Linked DNA regions of Solanum lycopersicum. Each later gene encodes a partner of the first gene's protein in a complex. Links are inferred from orthologs where the notes say so. Each region holds a gene or a part of one and is shown on either strand. Other genes may lie near its edges.

The links.
Region 2: large ribosomal subunit protein uL4c (region 1) and large ribosomal subunit protein uL3c share a complex: the UniProt entries of both Arabidopsis thaliana proteins name them as parts of the 50S ribosomal subunit. The link is inferred for Solanum lycopersicum from reciprocal best matches to the Arabidopsis thaliana genes RPL4 and AT2G43030.

The regions. Positions count from the first base shown.
Region 1 is NC_090806.1:67,227,738-67,231,510, forward strand, and holds large ribosomal subunit protein uL4c, read left to right. Parts: upstream 1-1,409; 5' UTR 1,410-1,900; coding exon 1,901-2,729; intron 2,730-2,802; coding exon 2,803-2,840; 3' UTR 2,841-3,029; downstream 3,030-3,773. UniProt on the Arabidopsis thaliana protein: This protein binds directly and specifically to 23S rRNA. May play a role in plastid transcriptional regulation.
Region 2 is NC_090805.1:36,930,191-36,934,476, forward strand, and holds large ribosomal subunit protein uL3c, read left to right. Parts: upstream 1-1,402; 5' UTR 1,403-1,610; coding exon 1,611-2,163; intron 2,164-3,412; coding exon 3,413-3,702; 3' UTR 3,703-3,782; downstream 3,783-4,286. UniProt on the Arabidopsis thaliana protein: One of the primary rRNA binding proteins, it binds directly near the 3'-end of the 23S rRNA, where it nucleates assembly of the 50S subunit.

The DNA.
Region 1 (3,773 bases):
ACCAGAATTTGAGGCAAGTGATGAAGAGTTATTAAGAAGTGTGATTGAGTCATTAGAAGTAGAGAATATTGTTCCTAGTGTTAATACAAATGATTCAATTTTGTTTGAGCAAATGAAAGTAGAGAATTCAACTAATTTGTCTTGTGATGATCTTGGTGAACTTGAATATTGTTGGATTGATTCAGACATGGATTCTTCAACTCCTAGTGATGATGATGATATGAATATTTGGTTCAAGGATTGTTACTATGATCAAAATGGAGTTGAAGATTTCACTAACTTTGTTGGTGCATGTAGGGAGTTTTCTTGGGAAGAATCTTGTGAATCTATGCTTTATGCGCCTGATGTCTGATATTCATATTGGAGCTCAACTAATCTGGATTCACATTAGTACTGAGGGATTCATTGTTTCCTCGTAAAGGTGACTTTGTACTTTGAAAGATTCAAATCTGAAATCTCTAATTAAGGATGAAGGAGTACTTATAGATAGTCATTGAGATAGGAGTATTGATTAAGACGTTTTTCATGGCAATTGTAAATCCCATATTAGTATAAATTCTTTTTACTAAAGACCTATGAACTTTCTGTTGCTTTTAATTCAATGTGGAATAAGCATAGCTTACCTAATTTTAGGATGTAAGCTGCAGAACCTATTTTTATGGTACATTTGAAATTATTAGTTCAAAATTTAATTGAGTTTGTTAAGTTTCAACATAAGTGGAACGAGGAGAAATTGATTTCTTTATATACTCTTGAACAATCATATCTCCTCGATTTATCTTTTGAATTGAGTTAAATCTAATATGGTATTGAAGTTACGTCCATCTCACTTCATTATCATTTAATATTAGGTCTCCATTTTATATTGCTTACATTCATGATATCTGACCATGAACGTGCAAAGGAGCGTTGAGTCTTAAATTGATTGATAAGCATAAATAATCTTGAACAATTATTTCCTCTTGAGCTAGCTACGATGTTACAGTTAGATTAGATTCAAGGTTTGTTTTCTTAACCGAATTCAACATACGAGTTGGGCTTAGCGTATCATGGAAAAATTGGAAAGGGAAGGCAATATGTAGCAGGCTGCATCAATAGCGCCTCAAAATAAAAGAAAATGAAGGTTTTGGGCTTATGATGGTGTAGCCCCAACTAACAAAAGACTTGATCAAGAAAATTGTATAACTTTTATATTATATCAAAATTAATAAAAATAAAGAGCACATTTCATAAAAATTTTATTTGTCGCTTACGCTCTAAAAAATTTATTTTTTTTCCTACACAAAAGAAGATTTAATTATGTTCTTAAAGTATTGTAAATTAAATAGACATGCCCTTCAACTCTTCGTCAATAGTTTGGCTTATATATGACCTTATCATTTTGAATGTGTTATTAGTCTAAATGAAACATTTGATTAACCTCATTTGTTGATTCATAAGTGAAAAAATTATCAAATATACTCTGACAACGATAAGCATAGAAAGAATAGAATATTTGTAGACCTTATCACTATCTCGTAAAGCTAGAGAGTCTGTTACGTCGTAAAGTTGAAGAGTTCATTGGCGCAAAAGGATCGGTCCTTCACTTGCTGATCGTTCGCAAGTCGAACTCGCTCTCTTGCCACGCCTTTCACTCACTCGCTTGAGACGGACTCAATCACTCTTTGAGTTTGGAGGATTCACTCTCTTGTTATTACCCGCAGGGAGCGCATGTTTCCGCAAATATGTCCCTAAATTTATCAAATATGTGCTCAATTTCAAATACTTTGAGGGTATATATGACTTTTCCATTTTCACTAAATTTATTTGAACAAAGAATATGAATACATTTTGATATCCTTCTTCCTCATTTGTGGATAACCCAATCCATAGGCTTGCAGTTTGCTCCTTCACTGCAAAAATGGCTACTTCTTCTTCTTTATCTTTCTTTTCTTCCACCATTTTCTTCTCTAACTCCAACACCCTTCACTCCTCAAAGCAGCAGCAGCAGAAACAACTCATTTTCAAACCCAAACAACAACAATTCTCCATCCGTTCAGAGGCCGCCGCCGCCACTATTCCAATTCTGTCCTTTGATGGTACCGAAGTGGGCTCCACCACTCTCAACTTAAAATCCGCCCCTCTTGATACCGCACGCGCCGTCGTTCATCGTGGGCTTACCACTGACCTGCGCAACCAACGTCGCGGTACTGCTTCCACCCTTACCCGAGCCCAAGTACGGGGTGGTGGTATCAAACCATACCCACAAAAGAAAACGGGTCGAGCTCGACGTGGGTCGAACCGAACTCCTTTACGACCAGGTGGTGGGGTTGTGTTTGGGCCGAAACCTAAGGATTGGTCAGTTAAGATTAACAAAAAGGAAAAGAGACTCGCGATTTCTACTGCGCTTTCGAGTGCTACACAGAATGCCATTGTTGTGGAAGAGTTTGATGATAAGTTTGAGAAACCGAAGACTAAGGAGTTCATTGATTTGATGAGAAGATGGGGATTGGACCCAAAAGAGAAATCTTTGTTTTTGATGACGGAAGTTTCAGACAATGTGATTCTCTCCAGCAGAAACATTAGCACATTGAAGATGTTGACACCCAGAACTTTGAATCTTTTCGACATATTGGATTCTGAGAAGCTGGTTTTCACTAAATCAGCTGTGGAGTTCTTGAATGAACGATACGGAAATGATGATGATGATGATGATGACTGGGAGGTGGTGGACGAGGAAGAAGAAGATGGTTAGTTTTTGCTTCATTTTGGGTATGAAGTTTCCTTTCAATTTTAGCTAACTCGTTAATTTGCTGCATTCAGGTGGCGAGGTGGAGGAGAGTGCTGAAAGTTCTGAGTAATATATGAACATGGGGCGAAAAGGGTCTGTTCCATTTTAGAGGAGGCTTTACCTTACAGGGAGCTTAGTATATTTCACTTTGAATTGTATTTTATTGTATGATAAAACTAGGTGATTTTGGTTGATTTCATGTCACTGACTGCATTTGTCCATTACCTTCGTTGGAATAGTTTACTCTTGATTTTCGTTCCGCTCTCATTACCACTTTGAGTTCTTGATTTTTATGATAAGAGTGATTAGTTACTTTACTAATTAAGTCTTGTGTTCTGGCAAAACTACATTAATTGCTTAGTAGATGAAGCTTTATATAAGATTTATGGGTTACAAGTTGTCAGCCAGGCGAGATTCAGCAAAGTAAAATGATTAGGAAAGCTTTGTGTTTGAGTCTTAGGCTTGAAGCAATTAAGCAAAGTTAAGAAAAGGAAACCTTTATTTGGGTGGAAAAAGCTTCATCACCTTTTTCTTTAATACAAACACAAAGTAATTGGCAGGAAAAAATGCTCTTTACTTTGTTTTGAGTCATTGGGGGCATATGGGATGCTAAGCATTATTAACCTTGAAACAGACCATATCTAGTAGACTATCTATGGAGGCAGATAACTTGGACATTTGTACTATCAAAATATGTGATGGAGAGTATATGAGTATCTCTAGGCTTTTACTAGAACTTTTGAGTTTAAGCGCTAATTGCTACTCTGCTTTTAGCCTCAAAATAGAAGGTTTGAGAATGAATCAATGGATTGCACAAACTATCTCATTGATCAATTTTACATATTTCAAAGCCAGGCTGTTTAAAAAGCAAAAGAAGAACAAGAAAAATGAAAAATTTACATTGTGGAGGGCTATGCTACACTGATGTCTGGAGAAAAGAAGTCAATGGTTTGTATAATGGCATTGAACTCATTTACTAGTCAAATATTTAACACGTGACGCT
Region 2 (4,286 bases), on another chromosome or scaffold:
AAATATTATTATTTCCATTTTTTTTAGTTAAAAGGTTTTCAAAAGAAAAAAAAAACAAGAAAGGAATTCTTTAAAAACAATAATTTTATTAGAAAATAAAAAAAATTATGTTCATTAGAAAAGGTGTATTTTGACATAATAAAATAACAACATAGACATTTTTAGGTTTAAAATATTAGTAGTGGAGACATTTTTAGAATAAATGTTTAATCGTATGGACATTTTAATAAAATTATTAACAGAGTATATTTTTATTTGACGTGACATAGTTTAAAGCTATTTTTAATGCTTCTCAATCAAACAAATAACAAATTATAAAAAAATTAAAGATTAATAAATTAAATTAGTCAACAATAATTATTAATTAAAACTAAGTCAACTAGAATTTAAAAGAAAAAGAAATATAATCTTCAAAATATGAATTATTGAAGCTAAATTCCTTTTTTTTTTTAAAAAAAAAAGTTGTTATCCGGATTCAATCCGGGGTCTAGAAGGGGGATACAATGTACATATATACACCTATACATACATCGCGTTTTGGCCGAAGCTCGTGGATGGCGTGGCACCCCACGAGCTTAAGTAGATCCGCCCCTGTTCCAAATGTGTGAGAGAGGCATGATAAAATATGGATAAAAAATTTGAGAGAAAAAAGTCGATAATAAGATCTCTTTTTTTCTTTTCATCAGTAACAGGATAAAAAAAAGTGGGTTCAATTTGAAAAAAAAAAGGTAACTAAATTATATTATGATACCTTATAGTTAATAAAATATTGACATATTTACATTTATTAATTATTCTTAAGTATAGATCTTATAATAATTATGTTAGGAATTCTGACTAGTTTAATAATTTTCGCATAAAAAATTATATGATCTTATTCTTGCTATCTAAATAAGACAATTTTCGTATCTAAAAGATTCAAATTTGACCTCTGATTAAGGATTTTGCTCCCTAATAAAGATAAATTTATATCCAGAAGACTCGAACTCGACCTCTAATAAATGATGTAGAAGTATTTGTCACTCTTAGGAGGTATCAAATGAGCGAGTTAGGTTGAAACTGAAAATAATAAAATAAATTGAAATAAAATTTGGGTTGAGTTTTAACCAAACCAAGTTTACTTTGAGTTCAAATGAATTGGACTCAAATTTGGAATGGGTCATGGTCCTGTTCAATTTGACCTGCTTAATCTCAATAATTTCAACTTAGTAATATTTAATTTTTATAATTGTAATTTAAATTTCAACTCAAAATTATTATTTTTTTTAAAAAAAGAAACAGTTACAAATTAATAGATAAATCTTTAAAAAAATATAAAATAAATAATAATTTATACTTTCGGTATAGAAACGTCAATGCAAATAAAAAGTTATATAAAAAAATTGAAATTGATGATTAAATTAAATATTTTTTAAAAAATAGATTAAAACTTAAATGAGTTGAAATTAAATTCGATTAAAATTACGTGAGATACCGCTCCTTAATTTATATTTGGGGTCTTATAGTTTTGTGCAACCATCTCCCTCTTTCCCCATCTTGTACCGGATAAGGAAATCCTATAACAGGGCGTTTCCCCTTCCTCTTTCTCTGTCTCAGCGAACCAGTAAGCCATGTCTCTCTCTTCTTTCTCTACAATGCCCACCGCCAAGCTCCGCCTACAAACCCTACCCACTTCCACCACAGTCACACCCTTAACTCTGCACTCTCCATTTCTCCCCTCTTTCAGACTCCCAAAACATAAACCCCTTTCAATTCTCCGCATTTCAACATCTCCAGCTATCTCTGCCTCTCTTGAAGCTGGAGTCGGAATAATGGCAACCAAACTTGGAATGATGAGTTTCTTTGAAGATTCAGGAACAGTGGTGCCTGTTACTGTTGTAGGGTTTCGCGAAGGAAATATTATTACTCAAATTAAAACTGAAGCTACTGATGGATATAGTGCTGTACAAGTTGGGTATCGACGAGTTCGTGATAGAAAACTAACTAAACCTGAAATGGGTCATCTTGAAAAATCTGGGATTATTCCTCTCCGTCATTTGCAGGAGTTTCGTCTTCAGTCTGTTGATGGATTTGAAGTAACGCAGAAACTTGATTTTAATGAATTATTTAAAGAAGGTGATTTGGTTGATGTCGCTGGTACAACCATTGGAAAAGGATTTCAAGGTCTGTTTCTCTACCACTCCAATTATCCTAAAGATTGCTTTTTTCGGGTCGTTATCTAAATTTAGCCTTGTTTATCAAAGATTTGAGCTCATTTTCGATTGTTTTTAAGTATTTGGGTAAAGTTATAAAGTGCTTATAAACACTTATTTTTAAGTCAAAAATAAGCTAAAGCCATAGGTTAGAAATGGTATAACAAGGCTTTTGGTTTTTATAAAAATCCCATGCCAAACGCCAATCCAAACAGGTCCGAAGATTTCATCCCAATTTCATGAATGAAGTGTACAATTGACCTTGATTTTATGTGTTGTGATTAGTTTTTTCTTATCATCAGTGAGCTATGAATATATTGTCTTTCATATGTGAACTGTGAAATAGAGAACTCGTATTGTTAATGAATCTAGTTCAAATGGATATTCTAAATTCATATAGCTAGCTTGGGATGGAGCGCGGTTGTTGTTTAAAAGAGAACTGGCCTGTGATTTTAGTAGCGTGATACATCTGAAATATCAAGTCTTTGGTTTTGCATTACTGCACTTTGTTATGCTATTGCAATTCATTTATCCTTAAACCAGAATGTATTTGTTTGTATAATTATGATACAATGTATCACTATAGATGTAAATATGATATTTTACTTATTTGTAAGAGTACTTGAAATGCCTGTTACATGAGCTACATTAACTTTTTGGCCAAATGGTTTGTATTAATGCTTCTATTGATTTTCCTCAATAACCGCAACTTTTGTTTGTAAATACTGCAATTCCAACTGAAAATGACATTGTAATTGAACATCGTGGTAGCTCCTCTCTTCGTGTGGCATGGCTTCAGCACCTAAATAAGCTTCATTAATGGATATCTTGATATTCTGGTTAACATGACTTGCTATCATAGTGTTTAATTATGCTGGTTGATTCCACAGTGTACATTTTCAGATGTTTAAATGTGGAAGTAGGGTTTATCAACTTTTCACGTCTTAAAAGTTTATCATAACCTGAATAGTTGTTTGAAGTATCATACAGACGAGACTTCCATACAGGTGCATGTATCGACATATTGTAACTATTAAGTCAAGGTACAGGTAGTTCTTTGGTTCTCTATTGGTGGCGGTCTTGACTCTAGATATATCATTCACTTACTAGAGAAGTAATTTTTTATCTCAAATTTGATTGTCTTTACAGAAAGCAAGTTCTATCTATCATATCTTGTTTTTCGCTCTCTCATTGTTGACACTGGTGGAATTGGCTTGCAGGTGGTATCAAGAGGCATAATTTCAAGAGGGGTCAAATGACTCACGGATCAAAGAGTCATAGACAACTAGGATCAATTGGTGCTGGGACAACCCCAGGGCGTGTATACAAGGGCAAGAAGATGCCTGGACGAATGGGAGGCACCAGGACAAAGATTAGAAAGCTCAAGATCGTCAAGATTGATGATGAACTTAAGATTCTAATGATCAAAGGAGCTCTTCCTGGTAAGCCTGGAAATCTTTTGCGAATAGCTCCGGCCAAGATAGTTGGCAAAAACATCCCCAAGAACTAATTTTTGTTCCCTCTTCTTTTATCAACTCTATGAAGTGATGAAATTTTTTCTTTCAAATTATGATATTGTGTTTCAACCAATCTCTACCTTCAAGTTTTATTTGTCAGATTTCTTAGCTAAAAAACTTTACATTATCAGAAGTCTATGAAAATATCTAGTTTTGTGTCCTCCCTCTCATAACCATAAAAACACATATTCTATTCACGAATCAAAATATCAATCTGTTCAAAACCATTTATCGTATGAGACAAATTATTGATGAAAATTCACAACATATCAATTTGTAAAATAGTGTTTTTTTCATGTACTATAAACTTTAAAGTTCACCATCTCGTCTAAAGTTTGGCATTTAAAACGATTGTAGTTTAATTGGTGTTTTATTATTAGGGAATTGTATGATTTTGGCGCAAAAATATTTATTTTATAGATGACTATACTATAGTGCAAGTCATTATAATTACAAAAGAGAAAGGTAACAGCAACATTACACCACATTGAACACCAATTTATTTTTACATAAGAATTGATAATAACACCAACTCAACAAATCTACACCATTTTTATCCATATTGACAATTGTTAAA